3 linked regions of the Ovis aries genome follow. The protein of the gene in region 1 binds, or shares a complex with, the protein of each later gene. Links are inferred from orthologs where the notes say so. Each region holds a gene or a part of one and is shown in the gene's direction. Other genes may lie near its edges.

Region 1 (9,468 bases):
ATGATTGAAGGTTAATGTTATCAACTCATTATTATCATTTTTTTCTTGAACTTTCAGGCTGCTGGACTGGCTACTATGATCTCTACCATGAGACCTGATATAGATAACATGGATGAGTATGTCCGTAACACAACAGCTAGAGCTTTTGCTGTTGTAGCCTCTGCTCTGGGCATTCCTTCGTTATTGCCTTTCTTAAAAGCTGTGTGCAAAAGCAAGAAGTCCTGGCAAGCGAGACACACTGGTATAAAGATTGTACAGCAGATAGCTATTCTCATGGGCTGTGCCATCTTGCCACATCTCAGAAGTTTAGTTGAAATCATTGAACATGGTAAGTTGTAGGATAACTTTGTTTTAAGACAGGTTTCCTGAAATTTAGGCTACTGATTTTTGGAGAAGTGGAAGGTGACCTACATAAACACCATATAGTTTATGATTTGTAATATTAGCTGCTAATAGGCTATAGTTCATACTGACTTTTGCCTAACTTTGTCCATTGTGAACAGATTCTGCAGTTTGACTAAACAGTTAGATGTATTGCTGGGATCTCAGTAGTACTATCTGAGTTAAAACTAGGCAATGTTGCTTAGTTGAAACCTATGTTTGGCTTTCTATAGGTCTTGTGGATGAGCAGCAAAAAGTTCGGACCATTAGTGCTTTGGCCATTGCTGCCCTGGCTGAAGCAGCAACCCCTTATGGTATCGAATCTTTCGATTCTGTATTAAAGCCTCTATGGAAGGGTATCCGCCAACACAGAGGAAAGGTAAATTCACCAGTTTGGTTGTGTTTTTTATTTCTACTCATTGAAGTTCAAGTGACCTAAATCTAATTTACTAAGTATATATATATTTTTTATTTTATAATAGGGTCTTGCCGCTTTCTTAAAGGCTATTGGGTATCTTATTCCTCTCATGGATGCAGAATATGCCAACTACTATACTAGAGAAGTGATGTTAATTCTTATTCGAGAATTCCAGTCTCCTGATGAAGAAATGAAGAAAATTGTGCTAAAGGTACTTGTTCCAAATTGTTCCATATTTATTAATCTAAATTGGATGTGTTTCATTGTTGAAAGAGAATTCTATATCATTAAAAAATACATTTTAGACCAAGACTGTGTTTGCTGCTATTATTATCTTTTTGAACATTTTAGGTGGTAAAGCAGTGTTGTGGAACAGATGGTGTAGAAGCAAACTACATTAAAACAGAGATCCTTCCTCCCTTTTTTAAACACTTTTGGCAACATAGAATGGCTTTGGATAGAAGAAATTACCGACAGGTAAGTGTTTATTTTTAAAAATATATATATTTTTAGAAATTCTTTCAGTTAATCCATTAGTTTGATTGCATATTATATAAGTCATATTTTGCCTTGAGGATCTCATAGATTGTTTGCTTGCTTGTGAAAGGATGGATTTTAGTCAGCAAGTCAATTTTCATTTTGAGTTTGCATTCTAGAATAAATAGCCAACTATGAATTGACGTTTTTATCTAGTAAATGAACTACTTAATCTGGCTTAAATGAAGCATGAATATAATCTTTAATCCCCTTGACATAGACTCACACTTAATTTTTTTGGCCATCTTTTTCTTAAGGTTTTATTATTAAAAAAAAATTTTTTTTGGTTGTGCTAGATCTTCGTTTCTGCTCGTAGGACTTTCTCTAGTTGTAGCGAGCGGGGGCTGCTTTTTGTTGCTGGTGCATGGGTTTCTCATTGTGGTGGCTTCTCTTGTTGTGGATTTCTGGCTCATGGGTTCTTGGGTTTCAGTAGTTGCAGCATATGGACTCTAAAGTGTGGGCTCAATAATTATGTGCATAGGCTTAGTTGGTCTGGGCATGTGGTATTTTCCCTGGCCAGGGATCAAAGACATGTCCTCTGCATTGGCAGGCAGATTCTTATCCACTGTACCACCAGGGAAGTCCCATCTTAAAGTTTTAATAGTAGGAGCCAGCTGTTCTCAACACACTGACTAGCTAAATAGTATCTTTAGAATATTCCATTTTCATAATTTCTCTGTATTTCCTTGGAAAAGCAGTAAATTGATTTTTCCCTCCTTTTTTTTTAGTTAGTTGATACTACTGTGGAGTTGGCAAACAAAGTAGGTGCAGCAGAAATTATATCCAGAATTGTGGATGATCTAAAAGATGAAGCTGAACAGTACAGAAAAATGGTTATGGAGACAATTGAGAAAATCATGGGCAACTTGGGAGCAGCAGATATTGATCATAAACTTGAAGAACAACTGATTGATGGTATTCTTTATGCTTTCCAAGAACAGACTACAGAGGTAATGATACTAATTATTATGGCAAGTTGTCATTGGCTCTCATATTTGTAAAAAGTAGTTTCAAGGAAATATCACTAAAGAGTAATTAAAAATTTTAAATGCTCATATTTGTGCAGTTAACTACAAAGAAATGTTCTTTTACATCACATTTTTAGAATAAGTTTTTGGAAGCTGAATATTAGTATATTTTAACTGTTTTGTCACAAACTGAATTCTTGTTCACATTGAATATAGTTTTTAAATTTAACTTGGCCTTTTTTTTTTTTTTTTTTTAATAAGGACTCAGTAATGTTGAACGGCTTTGGTACAGTGGTCAATGCTCTTGGCAAACGAGTCAAACCTTACTTGCCTCAGATCTGTGGTACAGTTTTGTGGCGTTTAAATAACAAATCAGCAAAAGTTAGGCAGCAGGCAGCTGACTTGATCTCTCGAACAGCTGTTGTCATGAAGACTTGTCAAGAGGTAAACTTCTATATCAGATTCTTACTTATTCACCGAAAGAAATAGGATAAACAGTAACATTTAATCATTTTTTTCTTTTTAAACAGGAAAAATTGATGGGGCATTTGGGTGTTGTTTTGTATGAGTATTTGGGTGAAGAGTACCCTGAAGTTTTGGGCAGCATTCTTGGAGCACTGAAGGCCATTGTAAATGTAATAGGTATGGAATTCATTGGTTATGGAAGAATTTTTTGTTTTTTGCTTTTTAAAAGTTCTTTGGATTTTTTGAAAGTAAAATACAGAATCCTATTTAGGAGTTGAGTGATGATATCTGATATAATTTTTTAACTACTAAAAATATAGTTAAGTTGGGATGTCACATGAATCTTACCTCCCAAAACCTATTTATATTTTACTTTAAAAGAGAAAAGAGGGCAAGTTTTAGGACCTGCAAGAGAGGAGTGAATAGTCACAACTCAAAAACTTTGAAGTCATGGGTTAAGAGGGCCCTAAAAATACAGTGTTTCACCTGGAATATATAGGAGGGCAATGGTGGGTGGAGAGAACTCTGAAATTTTAAGACTAAATATGATATATTTACTCAACTTGAGTAAAATGGTTATGGCAGGTTTTCCTGCTTGCCATGAAGTTCAAGGAATGATAACCTGGGAGAAAAGTGAATCAATCAAATAATCTCTCATTATTTAAATCCAATACTTTTAAACTACCCTTTCAGCTTTTTACCCAAAATTAAAACAAGTATATTTCAAATTCTTTTGGGTGTGGAGAATAAAGCTTTTATTCTTTAAAGGCCTTTTGATGGAGCAATAAATATGGTCTTGTGTTTTATTCTTCATTGTAATTGAATAGAACTATTGCAGACTTGTGCAGAGTTTGGAGGGGCAGAAATAACCTATCAGGAGGTTGAAATAAGCCACTATTTTTCTTGTTTTAGTAAAGGGTTTTTATGCAATATAGGATGTCTTTAAACCATTGCATTTACATACAAATCACAGTTCAGCCCTGTCCTCTATATTTGGAGCTAAAAATCAGTTATTTGGCCACTTGTGGGGCTCTGGTTTGCAAGGAATTATAAACCATATTGTTGGTCAGAGAAACATGGGAAAAGCAATGGAGAGAGAATCAGAGCAAGCAATTCTAGTTAGAACAAGAGCCCCTGCCAGCTGCCTCCTTTTTTCTCTCTTCGTAGGTGTAAATACCATCCAAGTATGCCCTGCATTGCAGGGAGACTGGAGATCTGTTTGTTTTGCAGTTAAAGGGTAAGGGGGCCCTTTCTGGAAAATTTTGCTTTAATTTACATGTCTCCCTCTGGCTTATATTGTTGTGTATGGCCGGAACATAAGCTGTCCCCATATTTAAATGTCAGTGTACAAATACATTTCAGAACTAAATGGAATTTTTTGTTGTTGAGTATCCATCATTCTTTAAATCACTTCACTAATTTCTTTCATTTTTATACATACATAATGAGAAGTTGTTAATGAAAAGTTAAAAATTCTGCGTTTGGTCAGAATCTGGGGCTTTTTCTTTCTATAGGCAGCTGTAAGTTTGTATTTATGCCTAGTCACATATATTACATTGTTAAGTGAAAGATAAAATGAGCAAAGCTTGCAGTTTACATGTTAATTGATAGTGTGTTGACTTTCGTTAAATAGGTATGCATAAGATGACCCCACCAATTAAAGATCTGCTGCCTAGACTCACCCCCATCTTAAAGAATAGGCATGAAAAAGTACAGGAGAATTGTATTGATCTTGTTGGGCGTATTGCTGATAGGTAAGCAGATTACCTAAATATTTTTAAAGTAGTATTGATTTTTACATTTTTATTCACTTGGCAAATTTGCTAATGTAAGTATATATGGTCAGGCTAATATTTTCAGTGAAATTTCAGTTTGAATGGTAATGAGGGAGTAGCAGTATATTTTTAAATTTTGCTTTTATCTAAAAATAATCCATCTCTTCTGAACAGTAACAATTTATATAATGCTTAAAATGAGTTGGTAATCATGTCTTGAGAACTGAATTTTTGAATTAACCTTTTAAAATTTATTGTCATGAACAAATTAAACTTTTATTTTTAAACCAGGGGAGCTGAATATGTGTCTGCAAGAGAATGGATGAGGATTTGCTTTGAGCTTTTAGAGCTCTTAAAAGCACACAAAAAAGCTATTCGTAGAGCCACAGTCAACACATTTGGTTATATTGCAAAGGCCATTGGGTGAGTATTATTTACGTCTTTTTTTTTTAACTTTGTAGTAGACTGATTTAGCGTTAAAAGATGCTTCTGTTTCTGTAAGCTCTTTTAAGGTAAGGTATGAGTAATGCAGTTAAAATAGACTTTAATGACCTTCAATATTTGAAATGTTTTCTTTCCTCTTAAATTGAATTAAAATAGAAGGGTATAAAATTTCATTTAATAACATTTCAGTGTTTGCAGAAAGGGAAACATTTCAGAAGGATTTCAGGTTTTGTTGATTCTTTTTGGTTATTTAAAATATTAAGGCCAGTTCTTTTTGGATATCGCTAAAATAGTTAACATAGTTCAATTCTCAACTTAATACTTCATGTGTTTTGAAAATATTTTTCTAGAATTAATCCACTGACAACTAAAAATTATAACTATTTTGTTAGATAATCTGTGGTTATTTGCTTTCACTCCACCAGAACCAAACTAGAACAGTCATTGTAGAAAATGAGATATTTCATGTACATGTGGCATAATAACAAGATATTCTCAAACATAACAAAAGTTGATTATATAATTAGAGTCTCCTCCACCCCTTTTTTGGTAGCTGTAGTATGTTTTCATTTGTGATGAAAGTCAAGCAATTTGCAGTGAATACCTGTGCTAATATAATCTTTTAGTTCCTGTATCCCTTTAAATTTGTGGTAAGATAAATCCTTAAAGAAGGAGAATAAATGTGGTAAAGGTCTGTGGGCGGGAAGATAAAAGGGAAACAGATTTTGTATGTTACGGCATGGGAGACCATGTTCTGACCACTCAAAGAATTCTCAGACTAAACATGTAATGAAATGATATTTCATTCAATGAAATTTATTAAAAACTGAATTATATTTGAAAATGAGTCTATTTGAATATTTTCATAAGAGTGAACATTTTAATTAAAATGAATTTGTTAAGTAGAAACAATAATGCCATAGCATAAAATTACTGAGTTCCATCCTTTGATCATTTTTCTTCCCTCTGAAAAAAATTTTGACTTGTATACTAACAGTTTGCTGACACATTTATTTTTTTCCAGCCCTCATGATGTATTGGCTACACTTCTCAACAACCTAAAAGTTCAGGAAAGGCAGAACAGAGTTTGTACAACTGTGGCCATAGCTATTGTCGCTGAAACATGTTCACCCTTCACAGTACTACCTGCCTTAATGAATGAATACAGAGTTCCTGAACTGAATGTCCAAAATGGAGTGTTAAAGTCACTTTCCTTCTTGTTTGAATATATTGGTGAAATGGGAAAGGACTACATTTATGCTGTAACACCACTACTTGAGGATGCTTTAATGGATAGGTAAGTGACTTGAACTAAGCACAAGAAAATAGTTAAAATAATTCTTTTATTTTAGAGAACTTATTGAAGTAATCATTAGATGACCTGCTTGTTGTGATGTAGTTAAAGAAAGGACTACTAGCCTGGATTTTATGAAACTATTAATGTGACTGTTATCTCCAAATAAGGTATATGATATAGTACTTTTCCTGGTGGTCCTCTGGTTAAGAAGCCACCTGCCAAAACAGGGGAATCTTCCTGGTCTGGGAAGATTCCAGTGCCATGAGGCAACTAAGCCCGTGCAGTGCAACTACTGAGCCTGTGCCCTGCAACAAGAGAAGTCACCACAATTAAGAGTAGCCCCTGCTCTCTGCCGCTAGAGAAAGCCCTTGTGCAGCAGCAAAGATCCTGCACAGCCAAAGGGAAAAAAAGATACATGCTATAATGGTTCCCCCAATTTTTTCTCCCAAGTGTGCCCCCTCTTCATTTTAACCGCCTCCCCCCCCCCCCTTTTTCTTTTGGCCATGTTATGAGGCTTGTGAGAGCTTACTTAGCTGACCAGGGATTGAACCCTGGCACCAATAGTGGAAGCGCTGAGTCCTAACAACTGGACCATCAGGGAATTTCCAATCAACTTTTGTTTTAAAAATTACAAAGAAAATGATGAGCATGAGCTTATTGATGTAACAGAGAGACCTGATCTTTTTAGCTTTTTGTTATGGCAGGTGAAGCAGAGACACTTTTAACTACTGAACATAGCCTGCCAGAGCCACACTATTGTCACTGCAGGCCCCCAATTATTCAGATGGTGACCCCTGATAAAGTATTGCTGGAGGTGATTGATACAGTCCTAATACCAAGAAACATTACTTTAGTTGGGAAATTTACCAAGGAGGAATACAGATTCATTATAATCTATGCCTAATAGATTATTATAATAAATAAGAGAAATAAAGATGCTAGTAACTAAGTCGGTTCAGGTGCTTTTTTTTTCCTCTTAAGGTTTAAGAGAAAAAAGTATTTTTTTCTCTTAAATACCTTTCAGGTTCTCTTCTTGCCTTCGAGGGTAAAACGTGTGAACTTGTTTTTATACCTATCATAGACGTTTTATCTGATACTTGTACTCAGTTGAATAAATTATGGAATAAATAAGTCAATGATTTGTCATAAAGTCAGTCAAAACATGGGAGGTGATAAAAGTTCTTTTTTCTGGGTTTCAAAAAATTATTAGTCCTTCTCTTCCTTTCCCCAAATTGAACTCTTGAATGAATCTTTTTAAAAAACCACAAGGGAAGGGATTTAATCTCATTTTATTTATTTACTGTATACAGTATTGAATTACTTCCGAAGATTTTAAATTTACAGAGTTTAAAATGAGATATTACTGTTAATTGTTCGTATGTTAAGAGTCATGTATCCTCTCTTATTTTTAGTAGCTTGCAAAAATACACATTGTGCTGGGCCTTCTTGCTCCTGTTACTCTGAAAGAAAAATATAGCTTATTTTTGAGCCATTGTGAGCAGGTTTGAATCATCAAAGCAAAAGTTCTCAAGTATAATCATCAGTCATTCTTAAGGTATCCTATGTCAGATACACGAGGTGTAAGGATGACTCTGCATCCATTCCAAGCACTGAATTTGTGATTTAGTTTCTAACAGGCATGCAAGTATTTTCTGTGAAACTAAGACTGCATCTTAATAAAAAGCTTTTTCCCCTCTCCATTACAGGGACCTTGTACACAGACAGACTGCTAGTGCAGTGGTGCAACACATGTCACTTGGGGTTTATGGATTTGGTTGCGAAGATTCGCTGAATCACTTGTTGAACTATGTATGGCCCAATGTGTTCGAGACATCTCCCCATGTAATTCAGGCAGTTATGGGGGCCCTGGAGGGTCTGAGAGTTGCTATTGGACCATGTAGAATGCTACAGTATTGTTTACAGGTAGGTTAAAGGTTTTTTAAACAGTATTCATTGAAAAAATAATGTAGTTGAATTAAGTCACTGTTCCTAATTATCATTAGGGAAGATATATTTGTGCCATATGGGAAAACAGTTATGAGGGGAGAGAAGATTAGATTTTGTCCTTGCCCACTTCAGTTTTATGAAATTGACATCTTTTTTTTTCCTCTCTCAAAGGGAGATGTTTAGAACCATATCTTTATGGTTTGTTTGTTAGTTGTGTTAAGGTTATGTATTTCTTGAAATAATATAACCTTTTAATTATTCTAGGGTTTGTTTCACCCAGCCCGGAAAGTCAGAGATGTGTATTGGAAAATTTACAACTCCATCTACATCGGTTCACAGGATGCTCTCATAGCACATTACCCAAGAATCTACAATGATGATAAGAACACCTATATTCGTTATGAACTTGACTATATCTTGTAACTTTATTGTTTATTTTGTGTTTAATGCACAGCTGTTTCACACCTTAAACTTGCTTTGATTTGGTGATGTAAACTTTTAAACATTGCAGATCAGCGTAGACCTGGTCTTAGAGGAAGAGCTAGAAATCCAGTAGCATGATTTTTAAATAACCTTTGTTTTTGATGTTAAGCAGTAAACGCCAGTAGTGACCAAGAACACAGTGATTACACACACTATACTGGAGGGCTTTCATTTTTAATTCATGTTTATGAAGATTTAGAATTCATTCCTTGTGTTTAAAGGGAATGTTTAATTGAGAAATAAACGTTTGTGTACAAAATGCTAACTTGTGTGTGTTTTTTGAACATGACTTGTAAAATGCGGAACTTTGATAAAGTACTGGTTTCTGTAGAATAAGTGGCTTAATATCGTTTTCTGTCACCTGGTTTATAGAGAGTAGTTAGTAGAATACAAGCTATATAAAGTGATGGTATCTTTGTCAAAATTCCATTGCTCTGTTGATAAAGACATTAGGAAGAGTAGCTTTGAGGGTGTTAACCTCAAACTAGCACAACCCTTCCATCACCTTAGAAAATATAGCACCTTTGCTGAACTGTCTTTAATATTATTTTGCACTTGCATAGCGCCTTTCATCTCTTGATTTCTCAAAATGCTTATGAATTTGCTTAAGGGAAGTAATTGAAGTCATATCCAACTCGTGACAATTCTGTTTAGAATGTGGGAAAAGTAGCTTAAACTTCTACTTGTAGGGAGTGAGGCTACCTCTAAGTCATGCTAGTTAGAATAAGACAATCTTTTGAGTTCTTTGCCCAT
Region 2 (10,342 bases), on another chromosome or scaffold:
TTGGCAAACATGAATAGAAAAGTATTTAACAAACTGGTTATAAAATTAGGAAGCACTTTCAAAGAACAAGATATAAGGACTTTCACTACCAGGTATCAAGGCTTGTCTATAAAGTAGAAATCAAGAGTGTGGCTTTATTGTAGGGGTAAACAAATAGATTACTGAAACCTTATAAAGAACCTAGAATCAAATCTACACATATAAGATCATTTAATAAATGACTATGGTGGCATCATAAATAGTGGGGAAAAGTGTTTCCAGTAAATGGTGTCAGGAACATTTGCTATCCTCTGATAAAATAGGACGGGCCACCTCATTCTGTGCGCAAAAAACATTTCCAAACAGATTAAAAACCAAGTAAGATGGCAAAGCTATAAACTTCTTAGAAGTTTATGCTAGAGAATATCTTCTTTACCTCTGAGTATCTTCATCAAAATTGGAACAATTTCTGGATGCCTCATCTTTAAGATTGATTGATTTATTATTTATGGCTATGCTGAGTCTTGGCTGCACGTGGGCTTTCTCTAATTGCAGTGAGCGGAGGCTACTGTTTGTTGTGGCGTGCAGGCTTCTCATTGCAGTGGTTTCTCTTGTTGTGGAGCACAGGCTCTAGATGCTGTGGCTTCAGTAGTTAGAGCTCACAGGTGTAGTTGTCCTGTGGCATGTGGAATCTTCCCCAAACCCATGTCCTCTTCATTCGCAGATGGATTCTTTACCACTGAGCCACCAGGGAAGTCCTCTTAAAAGCACCAATCATAAAGGAGGGGAAAGGTCAACTAATTTGATTATAGTCCAATTAAGGAATTTAACTCATTTTTAGATGCCATAAGGTCAAAATGCAAGCTTGTTGGGATTTGAAATATTATTACATATATCAGTTATCTTATAGACTTAATGTTTTGGTATAATTCTCCATTTGTTCAAGTTTTAAATTTCTTGTTTAAATTTTTGTAATTATTTTTATATGCTGTGTCCAATTTACCTTTGGTCAGTTTTCAGATATGGAGTAATATTTGCAGTTAGTGTTCTGGGATTAATTCTTCATTGTATTTCCAAGTTGCTTATTAACGGTATATAAAAATTCAGCTGAGCCTAGAAATTTATTTCTTATTTAAAAAGTAAAACACAAGTCTAAGTGTTTTAAAATGAATGTTTCCAAAAACAGATAGATGATGTCCCCCTCTCTCTCTTTTTTTTGGCAGGTCTAGATCCAAAGAGAAAACGGATAGTGGAGAAAGTTCTAAAGAGAAGAAAAAAGACAAAGATGACAAAGAGGATGAAAAAGAAAAGGATGCTGGTGTATGTTTACTAACATAAATAATAGTATAGTATTGAGTTTGTTTCTGTAGTGACTAGTTTTTGGTTTTACTGCTATATGTTTTATTTTTAAGTAAATGATAGCAAATTTATAAAATAAATATAAAATGATAGTTTTCCCCATGAGAACATTTTTCTGAAAGTTACATATCTATACACATTATCTACTTTTATATATAAAATGTGATCGTACTATATGCCCTATTCTGTACCTTGCTTTTTTGTTGCTTTAAAATTATGAATTACTTTATCAATATATATCAGTATATAAGGTCCTAATAATAAATCGCAGTATACAAAGATTCGAACTTAAGTAGAATACCTTTTTTTTTCCTTTTGTTAAATTTTGGATATCTTTATGTACCTGTTTACATAGGTAGTGTTTGTTGTTTTTAATGCCTGCATAGTGTTTTGTTGAAGAAAAGGTAAATGGGTATTTAGGCTGTCTGTAGTCCACAATTATAAACAATGGTAGATTAATCCTAGTACACATGTGTTCTGTGAATATAGTATAGGGTAAATTAATACCAGTAAAATAAATTCCTTTGTCAGTGGGTATATAGCTTTCCCTCAGTATCGGAGGGGGATTGGTTACAGGACCCCTTTGGATAGCAAAACCTTCAGATGTTCAATTCCTTCATATAAAATGACTTAGTATAACCGTGGGTATCCTCCCTGCATAGGTTGTCATCTCTAGATCACTTATGATACCTAATATGATGTAGATGCTGTGTGAATCATTGTAAATACAATGTAAATCCTGTGTGAGCGGTTGCCAGCCTAGGGCAAATTCAGGTTTTGATTTTGAGAACTTTCTGGAATTCTCTTTTCCTGCGTATTTTTGATCCAGTTAGTTGAATTTGGAGGATGAGGGTTCAGGTCCAGAGGGCTGGCTCTAAAGATTTAACATTTTGATCGATAGTATCAAATTGCCCTCCACAAATATTGTAAAAATTAAGATTTTAGACGTGAAAATGTCTGTTTCCTCACATTCCTGCCAACATGGGTATTTTGAAATTTAATTTTTGCAGATGTTATAGGAGGTAATTGATTTCTTGTTATTTTGAGTTGTATGTCTTTAACATGAGTAAATATTTTTAAGTGCTATGAACATAATGTAAACCAATAATTAAATAAGGCATTTTAAGTTTATCTACTATCTGCACTTTTCTTTGAATTGCCTATTCATAGCTTTTGCCCATTTTACAATATATTATAGCTTCATTTCCTTTTTTTTTGAGATCTAATTTTTGTTTTTAGTGGTTCTTTTTTTAAGGGAACTGTTTGCTGAGCAGGTTATCTAAGAAATTAACACAAGAAGTCTGGAGGTCTGGTTTCTGATTTAGTTTCTACTGTGGAATGACTGGGTGACCTTGAGAAAAAAACATAAGCTTTCTGGGGCTCATCTTCAGAGAGTATGGAATTATGAAGGATGTAAATTCAGGGACACAGGTTTTGTTTGTTTAAGAAATAAATTTATTTTTAAAATATAAATATAACCATATTATAAAATACTTGGAAAGTCAGAAGTAATTCTCTGTAATTCTAGATACCCAAACGCCATCAATATTGCAGTTTATTAGTATTTTCTTTGACTGTTTTTTTACATGTGTGTTTCTATACCTATTTATATAATTGTAGCATGGATGGAGGAGCCTGGTAGGCTACAGTCCATGGGGTCACTAGGAGTCGGACACGACTGAGCGACTTCACTTTCACTTTTCACTTTCATGCATTGGAGAAGGAAATGGCAACCCACTCCAGTGTTCTTGCCTGGAAAATCCCAGGGCTGCCATCTATGGGGGTTACAGAGAGTTGGACACAACTGAAGCGACTTAGCAGCAGCAGCAGCATGTATAAAATTTTGATATTTATGATGCTTAATCTTTAAGTCCTTGATTATGCCTGTGAAAATGATTTGTCTTTCCTTTGAAGAGTATAGTTGATAATCATGATACAAGCTTTAGAATGGCTGTTCCTAGAAAACTTAGACCTAAAGGCTAAAAGATCAGAACTTCTTAAAGATTTTGATAAATAACTTTCATTTACTCACTTGTTTGAAATAGAAAATTGTGATAAAAAATCCTTCTCATGGAGGCAGTCTTGGAGAAGTTTAAAGGATTTACAGTTGAGAGTAATAATTAGGGAACTTTGCTTGCCAGTTCTTTTAGTTTCCACTTTGAGGGAGAGGTTGAGTTCATGTGTGCATATTGGTAGTAACTAAAAGGAGAGTAAGTTATAGTATTTGAAGTTTGTGTTTGGCTTCCCTGGTGGCTTGGGTGGTAAAGCGTTTGCCTACAATGCGGGAGACCTGGGTTTGATCCCTGGGTTGGGATGATCACCTGGAGGAGGAAATGGCAACCCCCTCTAGTATTCTTGCCTGGAAAATCCCGTGGATGGGGGAGCCTGGTAGGCTACAGTCCATGGGGTTGCAGAGTTGGACACGACTGAGCGACTTCACTTTTCTGGTTTATTAGTTGAAGATACTTTTGATTGTGATTTCATTTTGTTAGTTTATTCCTTAATATATTAAAAAGATGTGTAATCTAAATCTGGTCAGAATTTAGGAGTTTTGTGTAGATACCTGTTTTTCCTTTTCTTTTTTTATACTTTGAAAAAGTTATTTGGAGTGTCAGTAGGAGTAAAACTGTTGATCCTTATTTTCTTCTATTTTTCATTTTCACCCCAAGAACTTTGACCAGAATAAGCTAGAAGAAGAAATGAGAAAGCGAAAAGAAAGAGTAGAAAAATGGCGAGAAGAGCAACGTAAAAAGGCCATGGAAAACATAGGGGAACTGAAAAAGGAAATCGAAGAGATGAAACAAGGGAAAAAGTGGAGCTTAGAAGATGATGATGGTATGTTCATTTGTTTGCTAGTAGCCTAAACAGCAATTCATGTATAATATTCTAGGGTTATAAGTGATAGACTATTTTTTATCATGAAAAAATACACATAATATTTACTATTTTAACCATTTTTAAGTGTACATTTCAGTGATGTTAAGCAAATTCACAGTGTTGTGCAGCCATCACAACTGCCCATTTCTAGAACTTTCCAAACAAAATTCCAAACAAAACTGCCTTATTCAACAGTATTCATCATTCCAAACAAAACCTCTGCCTTATTCAACAGTAATTCTCTATCCTGCCTTCCCGTACCTCTTCATTTCTAATAACATCTAATCTACTTTCTGATTCTGTGAATTTGCTTATTCTAGGTACCTTAATAAATGGAATCGTGTAGTATTTGTCTTGTGACTAGGTTTATTTTATTTAGCAAAGTGTTTTCAAGGTTCATCCATGTTGTAGTCTATATCATAATTTCCTTCCCTTTTAAGTCTGATAGTATTACGTTGTATGTATATACCACATTTTGTTTACCTATTCAGCTGTTGTTGCATATATAAGTTGTTTCCATCTTTTGACTATTTCGAATAATGCTTCTGTGAGTGTTGGTTTGTGCATATCTGATTGAATCCCAACTTTCAGTTCTTTTGGGTTTATAGCTAGAAATAGAGTCACTAGATTTATTTTGAGGTTTTTCAATGCCCCTTTTCATATTTAAAGTTTTAATTGTAGAGTAGCGTGCAGTAAGGATCACTGATTTTACTTTAGAGTGGAGAGTTGGATGCTTATGGGCAGTCAGTAAATAGCTCTTTAATTTTTTTACTTCAGATGTTAGTAGTGAGGGTAAGTTAAGGGCATGTTTCCAAGTCCCTCTGATTTTTTTCCTAACTTAGAAGAGCAACATTTCCCCTGCACATCTTGATTATTTTTTTCTTTTTTAAATTATGAAACTATGATAGTACATTTACAGGAGATTTGGAAAATACAGAAAAAAGTTACATATATTTCCACTATATATTACAATTATTTTTTAAGTAGATAAATTAAGGTTTTTAGTTGGAGTTTCAATATCAAACTCTCAAAAGTTAATGGAATGAATAGACAGGAAAGTAGAAGGATATAGTAGACCTCAAAAGCACTATGAACCAATTCAACATAATTAAGATTTATACAGTTTTCACACCAAGGCAGGATACAAATTCTATTCAAGTTTCCATAGACTGTGAACCAGGGGACACTGGAACATATCCAGGGACATAAAGCAAAGTGCAAAAATAGTCTATGGGTATTAAAATCATACAGTCTGTTCTCTTATCATGGTGAAATTGTATTAGAAATCAATATTAAAAGATATTTGAAAATAACACACATATTTCAAGTGCAGTGTGACATTTACCAAGAGAGAATTTTGACATAATCATTGAAAGTCTCAGTAAAGTTAAGAGACTGAAGAAACAGAGTGATTGCAACGAAGAAAGCAAGTAAATGAGAAATTAGTATCAAAATGAGAAATTAATATCAAGGATACTTTAAAAACTCCATGTGTTTGGACAGAAAATGTCCACTTTTAAATGATGGTTGTATCTAAGAAATCATAATAAGGAAAATTAGAAAATATTTGTAGCAGAATAAAAATGAAAGAGAATTTATCAGAATTTGTTGAATGCAGCTGAAGCTGCTCAGTGCAACTAAATGCAACTTCACAACTGATTTTGATGCGTAAGATGTTAGTTAAGTGGAATAATGAGGTTTTATAGGAAAAGGGAATTTTGCTCCATTTTTTTTGTGAAAATCCCTGTGAATTTTTCATTTTCTGTGGAAGTTCACCAGGGTGTTTTGTTCTAAATAGATTAATGGATTATGTCTTTAAATGGTGGTGATGTTGTTGTTCAGTCACTAAGTTGTGTCTGACTCTGTGAGCCCATGGACTGCAACACACCAGGCTTCCCTGGTGATAGTTATGTAAAAAACATGAGACTGTCTTTCGGAGAAGGCAACGGCAACCCACTCCAGTACTCTTGCCTGGAAAATCCCGTGGATGGAGGAGCCTGGTGGGCTGCAATATACTATTAATTTTTTCTTCCTGTGATTAAAGAAAAGTGATTGAAAGAAGCGAAATAAGCATATCCTTTTAGCAAAGTTTTTAGTTTTGCTTCTGTTAGTGTGGTTGTAAAATAATACCAGAGATCCATTTTTCAGACGTATTAGTGTTTCTTCCTCTTTTCAGTTTAATAGTTTATCATTTATTTCTTTTATTATTAGTATTATTCAAAACTAATGCTTGTTTGATTTAAAACCTTGCCAGTATGAGTATTTGAACTGTATTGTGCCTGGGTTAATTGATAAGGAAGGTATTTGGGTAGTTAAGAGAAAAGGCTTCTTAATAGGGGCATGGTCGGATTGTGAAATAATCCCTTTTGAAACACATATTCAAAGTATGTTCTGATATTTTAGATGATGAAGATGATCCTGCAGAGGCTGAAAAGGAAGGAAATGAAATGGAGGGTGAGGAGTTAGATCCATTAGATGCTTACATGGAAGAAGTGAAAGAGGAAGTAAAAAAGTTTAATATGAGAAGTGTGAAAGGTGGTGGGGGAAATGAAAAGGTATGGGATTTTTTTCCTATTTTATTTTTAAAGATTTATATTCCTAGTTGAATAACTTGAATTCATTGTTGCATTGACCTACTATTGGCTTGCATGGCTTTATAAAGTTAATGATTTTGTTTCCTTCTGCATCTCAGAAGTGTCTGTGCTTTTTCTAAAGAGCAGAGATACTAGCAAATTGTAACTGCAAATGTCCTTTTAGAGTCATCATTACTATTATCATCTTTGTTTAGTGTTTTTGCTTGCTTGTTCCTTTCTCAGTAGGTCCTTTTCCAACACTCCCATATTTTATACTCCTGATCCTCTTTAGTCTAGGTTTTCTTTTTCTTAATAGAATTTATTGACAAATGGTGTAATTCAATGTTGTGTTTGCTTGTTCCTTCTTTCTTCTAAAATCTTCCCAAGAGCAGTGATCTTTACCTGTTTTGTTTATTGATTCATCTTCAGATCCTGGGATAGTATTTGGTTTGTGGAATGAGTGAAAAGTACTATTTAATAGTATTTTAAAAATAGATTACATAATATTATATAAAATTACATACTACATACCTAATTACCTGTGTGTTAATGTGTTAGGAAATATAATGCTGTTGTATTACATTTTTAAATTTAAGTAAGGAGAAAGTGGGCTACTGTTTGTTTTTGCATTAGTAGTCACTGACTACTAAGTTAATTCAGATTATAAATTGTTACAGTTATCATTGTTTCATTTGGTTTATACTTTGTGTTTCAACTTTAGCAAAATATTTCACATTCTTTTTTTAGAAGTCTGGGCCAACGGTCACAAAAGTTGTCACAGTTGTCACAACCAAAAAAGCAGTCGTAGATTCTGATAAGAAGAAAGGTGAGCTAATGGAGAATGACCAGGATGCCATGGAGGTAACTTTAATTTTAACTTTGTTCACGATACCATAGAATGAAACAGCAGCCCGCTCCAGTATTCTTGCCTGGAGGATTCCATGAACAAGGGAGCCTAGTGGGCCATGGTCTGTGGGATCACAGAGAGTCGGACACGACTGAGCACACAGCACGTGGTACCATCCTATGAGTATTTATAAGGAAGCATTGATGGAGGTGTGCTTTTCAGTTACGCAGTGTACTCTTGGGAGAAATTCTTGCTTTTCTCAACAGTATTGTAGCCAGATATCCAAACTGGTAGAACATTTTAACCTCTTTAACTTCTTGTATACCTACTTTTTTTTAAATTGAAGTATAGTTGATTTGCAATATAGTATTAGTTTCAAGTGTACAGCAACGTGATTCAGGTATACACACACATACATATTTTTAGATTCTTTTTCATTATAAGTTATTACAAGATATTGCATGTAATTCCCTTTGAAAGTGTGAAAAGTGAAAATATTAGTCATTCAGTATGTCCGACTCTTTGCTATCCCATGGACTGTAGCCCACCAGGCTCCTCTGTCCATGGATTTCTCAGGCAAGAATACTAGAGTGGATAGCCATTGCCTTCTCCACGGGATCTTTCTGACCCAGGGATTGAACCCAGGTCTCCAGCATTGTACAGTAAATCCTTGTTGCTTATTTTATGTATAGTAGTTTGTATCTATTAATCCCGCATTCCTAATTTATCCCTCCTTCCTATTCCCCTTTGGTGGCCAGAAGTTTGTTTTCTATGTCTGTGAGTCCGTTTCTGTTTTGAAAATAAATTCATTTGTAGTATTTTTTTGATTGCACATTCAAGTGATATCATATAGTATTTATCTTTCTCTGACTGACTCCACATGGTATGATGTTGTCTGGGTTCATCTGTATTGCTGCACATGTGTAGGCCAAATTTTGATTCATCCCTGTCCCTCATCAGTACATCCCAGATGTAGAATAGGGAGAGAAGAAATGAAGTGACAGAATGAAATTTTTTACTATTAACACTCACTGTAATGATTTATATAGAGAAAACTTTATTGTAATGATTTATATAGAGAAAACTATAGCAGAACTTCATTAAAGCTATGTTAGAATTAGTTTTTTGTTTTAGCTTTATATTGTTACTAAAGCTTTCTATGATGGCAAAGAAAAAATAAGCTAAGTTGGAAAGTTCAGAAAATAAAAGAAGAGGAAAAGAGTATTTTCTAGGAGTGGAACATTTTTTAAGTTAGGAATATTTCTTCCCATAGGAAGACAGTAATAGATTCAGCTCTTAGTTTTTCTCTTTTTGTTACAGTATTCTTCAGAGGAGGAAGAAGTTGATCTTCAGACAGCTCTTACAGGTTACCAGACAAAGCAGAGAAAGCTTCTAGAACCAGTGGATCATGGAAAAATTGAATATGAACCATTCAGAAAAAACTTCTATGTTGAAGTTCCAGAATTGGCAAAAATGTCTCAAGAGGGTAAAATTTGTTTATTCATTTATCAGTTATTTTGGGGATGGGGGAAATATACTTCACCTTGCCTGGGAGGCATGTTGATAGGCCTGTAAGTTGATGGGTAAGTAGGAGAAATGTGCCTGACTTACTTGGAGAAATGAGAGTGAACTAGAACATGAGAAATCATTCTAGAGAGTGAGACTGCTACATCCACAAAGATTAGGAATAGTTAGAAATTAGTGTGTTTTGGGAAACATTTTTAAAAAATGAGCAAAAATGAGTTTGGCTTACATAGTTGAGCTATTTAGGGTTGAAAATACTCTTCATGTGAAGTTAGCAAGTAGAGTATTGTTGTTTTTCTCTTATTTGAGAATTAGAAACCAATATGAATCTGTGTGATATTGACGGAAAAAGCGTGATCTGGGCAACCCTTGCTTAAAGAACAAGTGGTTGTATTACTTGTGAATCACTGTTCTTTTATTGCTGTTAGAATTTAAGTCAAAATAAAAGCCAAGTTGTAGAAATTGGGGTGTTTCTTTGCACCCCAATTGGTTGCAACAGTAATCACTTTGTCAGAGCTGTTCAGTGCATTGTCATGGAGCTTCTATATGGAATTATCTTTGGGAACACTAAAAAAGAATTGATTCTTAATACAACCATGCCTCATTGAAAAGTAGAGGGCACTAACAGAACAATATTTAAGAGTTTTTAATCTGGATTTTGTTTTGTAGAGGTGAATGTATTTCGGTTGGAAATGGAGGGCATTACTGTCAAGGGTAAAGGTTGCCCCAAACCAATTAAATCTTGGGTTCAGTGTGGAATTTCTATGAAGATCTTAAATTCTCTAAAAAAGTAAGTGTTGAGCGGTTGTCCACATTTTTCAATATCTTTCTACTGAAAATAACCTGTTACACAAATAATTCCTTAGCTTACATTTTTATTCTAATGGAAAATACTGATTTTTTGTTAAACAGCTTTCTCTAGATATGATTTACATTCCATAAAGTTTACCCTTTAGTTTACGATTTTCAGTATATTTATGAAGTTGTGTAGTCATTACCATAATCTAATTTTAGAGCGTTTTCATCAAACCCAAAAGAGGCCTGGATCTATTAGTATTCATTTTTCTCTCTTCTCCACACAAGGCATTCTCTTACCTACTACTTTTTATAGATTTGTGTATTCTGGACAATTCATATAAATTAGATCATACTTACATATAGTCCTTTGTGACTGGCTTCTTCC
Region 3 (10,342 bases), on another chromosome or scaffold:
GATCCTGGGGCCATGCCGGAACCTCCGTGCTCCCCTCCAGGCCACACTCCACTGATCTCCCTCGGCCAGGCTGGAAACAAAATAAAGATCAAGTCTCCTGGATGCCATGTGCTACTCTTGCTTCTTGGTTAATTTCACATCAGCCTTTGAGGCGTCTGGGCTCCGGCCACAGGGAACACAGGAGACTGCCACCCAGGGATGCAGAGCCAGGCTAGTGTCTTTCTGCTCCTCCCTGCTCTACTCCCCTGCCTCCCAGGGCAGCACACATACAAGGTAAACCAGTTCTCACTTTCTGAAACTGATAGAGCAAGGAAGGGGTTTGAGATGGTGAGGAGGAGGTGTCCCAAGGGGGAACAAAGGGGGCTGGAGCTGGATGTGCGGTTTCAAGGCCGGGTTGGCCCTCACCTCCCCACCTCCAAGAGGGCTGGGTTCTCTCTGAACTATAATCCTCCACAGGTTAGTTCTCAAACCAAGAAACAGGTGGCCATTAGCACTCCTGCCCCACACTGTAAAATGAATGTATCTCTGACTTACTAGAACTCAGTGCCGCCACCTCCCTCTCGCTGCTCACCCCCCAACTCCCGGACAAAGAATTCTTCCCCCAGCCCAAACGGTACCACAGTCTACCCGCTTATGTTAGCCCCAAGCCTAGCATCGGAGAAGGCAATGGCAACCCACTCCAGTACTCTTGCCTGGAAAATCCCATGGATGGAGGAGCCTGGTAGGCTGCAGTGCATGGGGTGGCTAAGGGTCGGACACCACTGAGCGACTTCACTTTCACTTTTCACTTTCACTCATTGGAGAAGGAAATGGCAACCCACTCCACTGTTCTTGCCTGGAGAATCCCAGGGACGAGGGAGCCTGGTGGGCTGCCGTCTATGGGGTCGCACAGAGTCGGACACGACTGAAGTGACTTAGCAGCAGCAGCAGCAAGCCTAGCATCCCTCTCGCTTCTGTCACCTCCCACCTGTTCCAGATTAGCTGGAATTTTCTCAGCACTTGGTTCAATCCAGCTGGTATTCCTGCTTCTACCTCTGCTCTCCTTCAATTCACCCTCCACACAGCAGCAGAATACTCTATTAAATGTGTAAATGGGGGGATTCCCTGGGGCTTCCCTGACTGTTCAGTCGGTAAAGCATCTGCCCGCGATGTTCAGTCCCCAGGTCGGGAAGATCCCCTGGAGAAGGAAATGGCAACCCACTCCAGTATTCTTGCCTGGATAATCCCGTGGACAGAGGAGCCTGGCGGGCTACAGTCCATGGGGTCGCTAACACTTCACTTCACTAGAGGTACCGTGGTTAGGACACGGCTCTCTCCCTGCGGAGGGCCGAGGTTCCATCCGTGACCCATCCCTGGTCTGGAAAATAAAATCCGACAAGGCGGGGGGCGTCGGGGCAGTTAAATAGGACCAAGGCTTGTGCCTGCATAAAACCCTCCGGTGATTTCCTATCACAATCGGAATGAACTCCGGACTCCTGAGCGCCCAGAGGAAGAGCCACACCTCCCCGTCCGCCCCGCCCCCGTGCCAGCCGGCTCCGCCCCCAGCCGACCCAATTCATTGCGCATGCGCCCCGACCTGACCTGGAAGAGGCTGTCTTCCGAGCCCACGTGTTCGACGAGCATGGCGGAGCCGGCGAGTGTGGAAGTCACCGAGCCTCTGGCTCCGGGAGAGGCCCAGAAGAGCGGCGCCCGGCCTGCCGACCGTCATGGCCTGCTCAAGCACAGCCGCGAGTTTTTGGACTTCTTCTGGGACATTGCGAAGCCGCAGCAGGAGACGCGGCTTGAGGCTACAGAGAAGCTGCTGGAATATCTGCGCGCAAAGCCGAAGGTATGGTGGCGGGGTCTGGGGCAGGAGCACCAGAGATCCTGGCTAGTAGCGGCGAGCTTGGGGTCACGTGGTCGCGAACCTGGACGACCCAAGTGAGCGCGCGCCGAGGAGCGGGCATGGGCGGGTGCCAAACGACCCTTCTCACTGGTCCACCTGGGGATGTGCTTGGTTCCTTAGGGATCTTCCGAGATGAAGTACGCCCTGAAGCGCCTAATCACTGGGCTCGGGGGTGGACGAGAAGCAGCCCGGCCCTGCTACAGTTTGGCCCTGGCACAGGTGAGGTGGTGGCCCCTGGAAGGGGTCCACCTGTGCTGGTCAGGTAGGGGAGTGAGTGAGCAGAGCAGATGTCCCAGCTGCAAGGGACGTGAGAACTGACAAGTAGGGGTAGCATCTCAGGCGAGCCGATGGGAGGTGTGCCCACGTGGATGCGGAGAAAATTGTGTAAGCAAGGCCTTTGTGCAGAGAAGCCCAGGAAGGCGGAGAGAGGGAGGTTGAGGCTGCTTTTGGGTACCTGGGTTGACCAGCCTCCGAGGTACATGTACTGGGGGTGGTAAGCTCTGGGGTGAGTTCTGTTACCTCTGCAGGGTTTAGGACCCTCTTCTCCCAAGGGGCACACAGCTAATTATAAGCCATATCTAAGGAGCCTGGACAAATGGAAGGCCTCTAGAGACCCAGTCCTTGAAGACCAGTCTAGGGAGAGCTCAGAGCTGGCTGTGGGGACAGCATGTTTGGGAAACACAGTCTAGTGGCCAAAGCACCCCAGCTACACGTGGGACAGGGAGAGAGGGGTCAGCTCCATTCACAGCTATGTTCCATCATCAGCACTGCTCAGAGGCAGGTAGGCAGCTTCAGAGGCATCCTTGGGGCGGGAGCAGGGGCCCAAGGCCTGCTCCCAAGGGCAGAAGTTGAAGAAGTAGGAAGAGATTAACGTCTGTTGGGATGTGGCAGGGCCACTCCCCCTGAGCCCCTCTCTTCCTCCTGGCAGCTGTTACAGTCTTTCGAAGACATCCCTTTGGGCAGCATCCTGCAGCAAATACAGGAGAGACATGACCTGCAGAAGGTTAAGAAGGTGAGAGTTAGCAGCCCCAGGGATATCAGCAGTCCCCAGGGTGGGAAATGCTTGGGTCCTTCTCACGGGTGCCTGGAATCCTTTTCTAGGGGATGATGAGACCTGCCCTCTTTGGAAACCTGTTTGGGGTGCTAGCCCTCTTTCAGTCAGGCAGGCTAGTGAAGGTAAGAGCTTTGAGGGTTCTGGGGGTATGTGGACTGGCTTGGAGTGGTGGGGGAGAGTGGCACGCCCCACTCATACCCTCTCTGCCTCTGGGACCACCAGGACTCAGAAGCACTGATGAAGTCAGTGAAGCTGCTGCAGGCCCTGGGCCAGCATTACAATCACCTTCAGGAACAGCCCCAGAAGGCCCTGGTGGACATCCTTTCTCAGGTATGGGCTCACCAGCTGTGGAGCCTTGGGTAACTAACGCCACCCGTCATAGAAGAGCACGGAGAAGACACAGGTTAATGCATGAAAATGCGGTACCGAAGCATAAATGTGGAACATGATGTTTTGTAGTAACTTCCCTTAAAAAGTAAGAAGGAAAAGGGATGTGCTTTAATAACATGGTTTAGTTTAATATCTAAAGTATTTTCATGTGCAGTCAGTATCAGAAAATCTATGGAGGTTTTTTACATTCTTTATCGTGGTAAGTCTCCAAAATCCAGTGTATTTTATACTCACCAGCATATCTCTGTTCAGATTAGCACATTTTACATGCTCAGTGTCCACATGTGACCAGTGGCTTCCATATTGGACCATGCATTTGTAGAACAGCGCCTGACATGTGCCCGGTGGGTTAAACATGTTTGCCATTGTTGTTTTGGGCAGAGCTGGGGTCCCCACTGCCCTACTTGGGAAGTGGAGGTGGGCTAGTACCTAGAATCCTTGCTATGGTGAAAAAGCCAGGGACTGGCACATCCCAGGCCAAGGCTTTCTGCATAACCCTGGCCACAGAGCTGGAAGGACCTGAATTCAAGTCCCAGATCTTCACTGGGGACTCCTTATAAAAAAAATGCTAGTCCTGCAAAACCCACAAGAGGAATAATTAAAAGGGTGGTCCTGGGCTAGTTAGCATCAGTGGGGTGCTTATTTATTTAAACCCAGTTTCCAAGGATTTGGGAATTTGCGCTTTTTAAGAAACCCTCTCTGGTGATTCTGTTGCCTGACAAGGTGGATTGTGACTGTCCCGTCTCAGGCTGTTGGTGTGCCGGGGCCTTGGGGGAGCCTGGGAGGTAGAATGGGGCCCAGAAAGCTCAGCTCACAGCAGGAGAGACAAAGGATGCTGTGAGGGCGCCCTCCGCACCCTCAACCTGTCTCCCCCACCGCCAGGTCCCGGAGACCGCGCTGCAGGAGATCCTGCCCAAGGTCCTCAAGCCTGACATGAATTCAGTTCTCGGCTCCCCTGAGCACCTGGAGCTCTTCCTCTTGGCCCAGCAGAAGGTGCCCAAGAAGCTGGAGAAGCTGATGGGACCGGTCAACCTGTTCTTGGACGAGAACATCCCCAGGTGTGAGGGAGGTGGGCAGGTGGGCCCTCCATCCACAGGTTTGCACCATGACCCGGGGTTGGGGGTCCATGTGGCCCCAGGCGCCTGGCCCTTGTTTGCTGGGGACTGCCCCCTGAGTCTTCTTCACCCCCACCCACCCCCGACCTCTGCAGGCTGGTGACTGTGCTGAAGACGGTGGCCAACTCTGTGAAGAAGGAACGCAAGCTGCCCACCGTGGCTCTGGACCTGCTCCGCCTGGCGCTCCAGGAGGACAAGTTCCCATGGTTCTGGAAGGAGGTTGTGGAGCAGGGGCTCCTGAAGAAGCAGTTCTGGCCGGCCAGGTGTGTGGGCGCTTGACCTCTCCCTATTTGGTGAGCAGGGGTGGCTCAGGGGGCCGAGGGCTCTGACCAGGCCCTGTCGTGCGCCCCCTCAGCTACCTGTGCTTCCGCCTGCTGGGCGCAGCCCTGCCCCTGCTGTCCAAGGAGCAGCTGCAGCTGGTGATGCAAGGGGACCTGATCCGACATTACGGGGAGCACATGGTCACCGCTAAGGTGAGCGCCGCCCCGCGGCCCAACCCTGCTGGAAGGGGCCAGGTGACTGGGCTGCTTCCTGCCCAGAGGAGGAAAGGGATCAGCCAGCTTCTGGAAGAGAGGGTGGTTCTTGGTGTCAGTGGTCCTGCCTGGGATGGGCAAACACAGCTGCCCCTGGGAGGAGGGGCTGGGGACCTGGGTGTCCCCCACCTCTGGGTAGAGGGAGCTGCCTGAGAGCCGACCCCCAGCCCTGCATCTTCCCCTACGAACCGAGAGTGGCAGGGTCAGCCCTTCTGCCCCCAGGCCGCTCAGCCCGGGCTTGTACAGCCAGCAATCTGTCCAGACCCCCCTCCACCCCCAGCTGGTGTTACAGGAATGCTACCCACCGATGCTATTTTGAGTACTGTCCACATGCCGCACACTAAGCTAAGTGCTCGACAGGGGACTCGAGTAGTGGTTAAGAGCAGGGAACCTGGGACCAGACTGCTGGGTTCCTGTCCTGACTCTACTGCCGCTAGCTGTGTGACCTCCCACAGGTCGCTTCCCTTCTCTGTGCCTGCCCCTGCCCCTGCCTCTGAGCCAAGGAGCAGGACCTTCCTTAGAGTCGTTGTGAGGATAATCAGGCTAATATCCACAGGTGCTTAAAGTAGTGCCTGGTGTGCAGGAAGTGCTGCTGGGTTTGCTTCTAGCTCATTCCATCTTTACCGCCAGCTTTGGAGAGCTGCCATTCCCCTCTTCCAAGTGAAGGACAGGCTCAGAGTTCAGCGCAGGGGTTAAGAGCTCCACGGGCTGGGGGACCAGACGGACAGGGGCCGAGTCCCAGCTCCACCACTTTTAGTCCTGTGATCCTCGGAAGTTGCTTCCAGGCTTTCTTATGCTTCATTTTCCTTCATCTGCAAAACAATTAGAGGTGCCAGGACGAAAGTTGTCCCAAAGACTAAATGTGGGGGCGCCTGAGCGACCCAGCTGGGTACAAGGGAGGGGACTTCCTAGGCCCCAGGGAACCTGTTGTGGAAGAGGCTGGGGGTGTGTTGGACCCCTCCTGGCTGATGACCCCAGCGCTATGCCCGACTCTCGCAGCTCCCGAAGCACTTCAAGTTTGCCCCGGAGATGAACGAGTACGTGGGGGCCTTCCTGGAAGGCTGCAAGGACGACCCCGAGCGGCAGCTGGCCCTGGTAGTGGCCTTCACGTCCATCACCAACCAGGGCCTCCCTGTGGTGCCCACCTTCTGGCGGGTCGTGCAGTTCCTGAGTCCCACCGCCCTCAAGGGCTACGTGGCCTGGCTGCGGGACATGTTCCTCCAGCCTGACCTGGACTCCTTGGTGGACTTCAGCACCTACAACCAGAAGAAAACCCAAGATGCTTCGTTCCATGGGTGAGTGGGCCTGTGGGGCCCAAAGGCCTGGACCCTCCGTCCCAAATACCTTGGTTCCTTGGGCCAGAGAGGAGCCAGACCTTTGCTCTTAAAGGCCTCAGTTTCCTCACACGTGGCCCTGTGCTGGGGATCAGGGCGTTGGGGAGCCTTGGTTGATTTTCCCGTCTCAAGGATGGGAGACACCCATTTCACCACCTCTAAGCAGTTTCCGGGACTTGTCTCCTGCCCACAGGCCCGAGCGAGCTGTGTTCCGGCTGCGGAAGTGGATTATCCTTCGCCTGGTCAGCATCATGGACAACCTGCACGTGGAGAAGGAGGAGGCGCTGATCGAGGAAGTGGCCAGGTATGGTCCCGAGATGTGCCTGAACCCTGACTTCCCACGGATGCAGTGACCTCATGTCTGACCTGCTTTGGGTCCTTCCTGGAGCCAAAAGCCTGAGGGTCAAGTCATCCTTGCCCCTTGGGCAGGACGAGATTGGGGGAAATTCCCCAGGGAGTCTGGGTATGGCGGGGGGGGGGAGCTCCAAGGTTCAGGCTGGCTCAGCATTCCCCCCACTGCCTTTGTGTGTCAACGGTGTCGGGGGTCCTTAATGACGACGCTGCCACTGCTACTCACCCTCATGGCGGCCCTGAGTGGGGCAGGAGCGGCGGTGACCTGGCCGAGGCCACGCAGCTTCGCGTCTTTGGTTCCAAGGGAGGGATGCTGGTCCTCTCCCGGTTCAGGCTGGGCTCTGTTCTGCTGGGGGTCCAGGCCTGGGAAACGTCCCCTCTGGCGTCATCGCCTCCTGGCACCAGGCCCTCGGTGAGGCCACCCGAGAGTGGCTGGTGAGGAGGGTGGCACTGACCGAGGGAACACGAGTACCCTCCCACCCTCCCCAGGTTTTGCTTCTTCCACTCGTTCTTCGAGACAAAGAAGCCCACGTCGCAGATCCCTGAGTCCGAGCAGCACTTCACCCTCGCCTTGGATGGCCGGACCCGGGAGGTGGTGTGCAGTGCCTTCTTCAGGTGGGCACCGGGAAGCCCAGGAGAGGCCTGAGGGTGGGCGAGTAGGCGGGGAGGTGGCCTCGGGCAGGGTGGGCGCTACTCTCTCCAGCTCTTCATCTGAGGCCCGGTGAGTTCCAGGGGCTCAAAGCCTGGGGATGGAGTAGGGTAGCCGTGTCTACCAGCCCAGCCCGTGACCCTGACCGCCCCCGCCTACCCCACCACCACCAGTCTGCTTCAGACCCTCAGCACGCAGTTCAGGCTGGCGCCGGAGCAGACGGCAGACGGGCGGCCCTGGACCTACCACTTGGTGCAGTTCGCAGACATACTGCTGAATCACAGCCGCAATGTGGCTCCACTGACAGCCTTCACCACGCAGCAGCGCCAAGCCTGGGACCGGTGAGAGGGTGTGGTTGCCGCCCGTGGGTAGAACCTCCCGGGGTCTGACACTGGACACATGGGTGGGATCCCCTGGGGTCTGACGCTGGCTGCATGGGTGGGATCCCCTGGGGTCTGACACTGGCTGTGGTGGCCTGAGAGCATGCTCATCTCGCCCAGGATGCTGAAGACGCTGAAGGAACTGGACACTCTCTCTTCTGAGGCCAAGGCCACTGCCTTCCAGCACCTGCTACTCTTGGTGGGCATCCACCTCTTCAAGGTACGGCGGCCTGAAGTGGAGGGGGCTACAGACCTAGGGTCTGCGGGGGCCAGGAACAGCTCTGTGGAGCTGAACGTGACAGGTTTCCTAGGCTGACTGCTCCTGGTTGGAAGTACAGCCCAAGGGAAAAACCACTCCATCCACTTACTGGACACCAGCTCTACCTTGAGCTTCCCTGGTGGCTCAGACAGTAAAGAATCTGCCTTCAGTGTGAAAGACCCGGGTTCAATCCCTGGGTCGGGAAGATCCCCTGGAGAAGGAAATGCCAACCCACTCCAGTATTCTTGCCTGGAGAATTCCATGGACAGAGGAGTTTGGCAGGCTACAGTCCATGGGGTTGCAAAGTCAGACACAACTGAGCAGCTAACATGCTCTATTCTGAGCTTTCTGAGCAGTGTCCGTTGTTGGTATTACCCACAGATTGGAGGCAGGCACATTTCTGACAGGTGGGATAATAGACTCACAGAGGTCAAGTAACTTACCCCAGGCCACACAGCTTTTGGCTGGGATTCAAACATGGGGCTCTGACTCGCTATCTCATAGGACCTCCCCAAACTACCTTACTGGCCAGGGGTGGTGGATGTCGAGGAGGGCGGGGCCTGGCTCTGGGCAGACCCGTCGACCATGGGGACACTTCTTCTGTCTGGCTGTGGTCCGTTCGGAGTGGAGCCGCGATTCTTCTGTTTAGCTCTTGCACGTTTGGAATCTAGAGTGGTGAGTTGAGGGTAGTGGGTGTTTTTCTGGCACCGCCCTCCCATGGCGTCCTGTATCCTGTCAACTATATTTCTCATGTCATGGGTACCTCTTCTCATAACCGGTTCTCTAAAACCCACTCCGTCTCCTTTTCTGTTCTTTCCACAAAGAAATTTTGGCCGTGTGCGGAGCGTACTGCCGACAGCGCTTTTGACCCTTGTGGTTTCCTCTGACTGTGAACTCAGGTCTCTGGAGGTTTTCCCCTCAAGTTGTGCAAGGCTCTTGTGGGTTGCTCCAGGTCTTCAGTAGCCTCAGGAGACAGGACTCCCTTCTGGCCTCTCGGCTGAGGTTTTTGCTTCCAGGCCTTGGGCACTCAGCCCAGCTCATGGACAAGCAGTGTGGGGAACAGTTGGTCACCATGCCCCTTCCAGTCCTTGGCCCTGGACATCCAATAGGGGCTGCCCAGACCCTGGACCTCTGAGCTTGACATGGATGAAAGCTACCCAGCCACAGCCAGGACGCTAGAGGCAAAGATGCCTGAGGCTTTTGAGCTCCTGTTCTGGCCTTCCTTCCACCACCCCCACCCCAAACATTGAAGCTGCCCTGCAACATTAAGGAGGGGAAGTCTGCCTTTTTGGTACCAGCGGTCAAACAGGTTAATTTCAACTCACTGGACTCTGGTCTTATCCTTCAGCAAAATAGACTTGAAAGGACTGTGAAAGTTGGTCAGTTGTGTTCGACTCTTTGTGATCCCATGGACTATACAGTCCATGGAATTCTCCAGGCCAGAATCCTGGAGTGGGTAGCCTTTCCCTTCTCCAGGGCTTTCCAACCCAGGTCTCCCACATTGCAGGCAGATTCTTTACAGCTGAGCCACAAAGGAAGCCCAAGATAGACTTAAGTTAGTTGAAATTAAATTTTAAATTTGTTGAAATCGGTCATTTCCAGTTCTTTTTGTAATGATGTCGAGCCAGGTGTCGTGGCGGAATCTAGAACTGCAGATCAGGAGTCTGGGACCTGCTGGTGCCCTGTGATCCTGATCCAGCCTGGGCATCGGTGGGGAGGTTGGGCTTCATCTTCTGTGAGGCTCATAAACTGTGTGTCTGGATGTTAGGTCATCAGCTCCTGGGGTCTGGCTGTAGGCCTCTGCTCTAGATTGTGAGGGGGACCGGCCAGGACAGTCTGGAGTCTTTTGGGCCTTGATACCAGGTCCGCCCCCTTGGTCACTCCCTCTCCCAGCTGAGCAAAGGCTGAGCATGGGGCCTGGCCTCTGATTTCTGTCCTGTCCCACACAGTCCCCCGCAGAAAGCTGTGACCTCCTGGGCGACATCCAGACCTGCATCAAGAAGAGCCTGGGGGAGAAGACCCGCCGGACCCGTTCCAAGGCCACCAGTGGGTTGTCGTCCCTGGGGCGGGGGGCGGGTAATAGGCAGACAGTAGGACCCAGCATGGGGTGCTCAGACCTGCTCCAAGGCCACCAGTGGGTCGTCGTCCCTGGTGGGGGGTGATGGGCAAACAGCATGGGTCACTGGCCCCCTGCCCAGGCTCACCCCTTCCCTGCTTGCAGACCCCCAGGAGCCGCCATGGGTGGAGGTGCTGGTGGAGATCCTGCTCTCCCTCTTGGCCCAGCCCAGCCACCTGATGCGCCAGGTAGCCCGCAGCGTGTTCGGCCACATCTGCTCCCATCTGACCCTACGTGCCCTGCAGCTCATCCTGAATGTAAGTGGGGGCCTCTGGG

The links.
Region 2: SF3B1 (region 1) and DDX46 share a complex: the UniProt entries of both Homo sapiens proteins name them as parts of the 17S U2 SnRNP complex. The link is inferred for Ovis aries from reciprocal best matches to the Homo sapiens genes SF3B1 and DDX46.
Region 3: SF3B1 (region 1) and MYBBP1A share a complex: the UniProt entries of both Homo sapiens proteins name them as parts of the B-WICH complex. The link is inferred for Ovis aries from reciprocal best matches to the Homo sapiens genes SF3B1 and MYBBP1A.

The regions. Positions count from the first base shown.
Region 1 is NC_056055.1:199,700,676-199,710,143, reverse strand, and holds the end of SF3B1 (splicing factor 3B subunit 1), read left to right. Parts: intron 1-57; coding exon 58-328; intron 329-614; coding exon 615-760; intron 761-863; coding exon 864-1,010; intron 1,011-1,150; coding exon 1,151-1,276; intron 1,277-2,064; coding exon 2,065-2,286; intron 2,287-2,565; coding exon 2,566-2,748; intron 2,749-2,834; coding exon 2,835-2,946; intron 2,947-4,402; coding exon 4,403-4,523; intron 4,524-4,835; coding exon 4,836-4,967; intron 4,968-6,012; coding exon 6,013-6,285; intron 6,286-7,991; coding exon 7,992-8,208; intron 8,209-8,496; coding exon 8,497-8,655; 3' UTR 8,656-8,980; downstream 8,981-9,468. UniProt on the Homo sapiens protein: Component of the 17S U2 SnRNP complex of the spliceosome, a large ribonucleoprotein complex that removes introns from transcribed pre-mRNAs.
Region 2 is NC_056058.1:43,895,532-43,905,873, forward strand, and holds part of DDX46 (probable ATP-dependent RNA helicase DDX46), read left to right. Parts: intron 1-1,202; coding exon 1,203-1,299; intron 1,300-4,007; coding exon 4,008-4,173; intron 4,174-6,618; coding exon 6,619-6,770; intron 6,771-7,535; coding exon 7,536-7,649; intron 7,650-8,955; coding exon 8,956-9,121; intron 9,122-9,828; coding exon 9,829-9,949; intron 9,950-10,342. UniProt on the Homo sapiens protein: Component of the 17S U2 SnRNP complex of the spliceosome, a large ribonucleoprotein complex that removes introns from transcribed pre-mRNAs.
Region 3 is NC_056064.1:24,906,673-24,917,014, reverse strand, and holds the start of MYBBP1A (myb-binding protein 1A), read left to right. Parts: upstream 1-1,608; 5' UTR 1,609-1,621; coding exon 1,622-1,828; intron 1,829-2,005; coding exon 2,006-2,104; intron 2,105-2,813; coding exon 2,814-2,897; intron 2,898-2,986; coding exon 2,987-3,061; intron 3,062-3,161; coding exon 3,162-3,269; intron 3,270-3,587; exon of another isoform or gene 3,588-3,664; coding exon of another isoform or gene 3,665-3,673; intron 3,674-4,211; coding exon 4,212-4,387; intron 4,388-4,539; coding exon 4,540-4,707; intron 4,708-4,799; coding exon 4,800-4,917; intron 4,918-5,976; coding exon 5,977-6,272; intron 6,273-6,504; coding exon 6,505-6,615; intron 6,616-7,151; coding exon 7,152-7,277; intron 7,278-7,484; coding exon 7,485-7,652; intron 7,653-7,811; coding exon 7,812-7,911; intron 7,912-9,899; coding exon 9,900-9,996; intron 9,997-10,171; coding exon 10,172-10,323; intron 10,324-10,342. UniProt on the Homo sapiens protein: May activate or repress transcription via interactions with sequence specific DNA-binding proteins. Repression may be mediated at least in part by histone deacetylase activity (HDAC activity).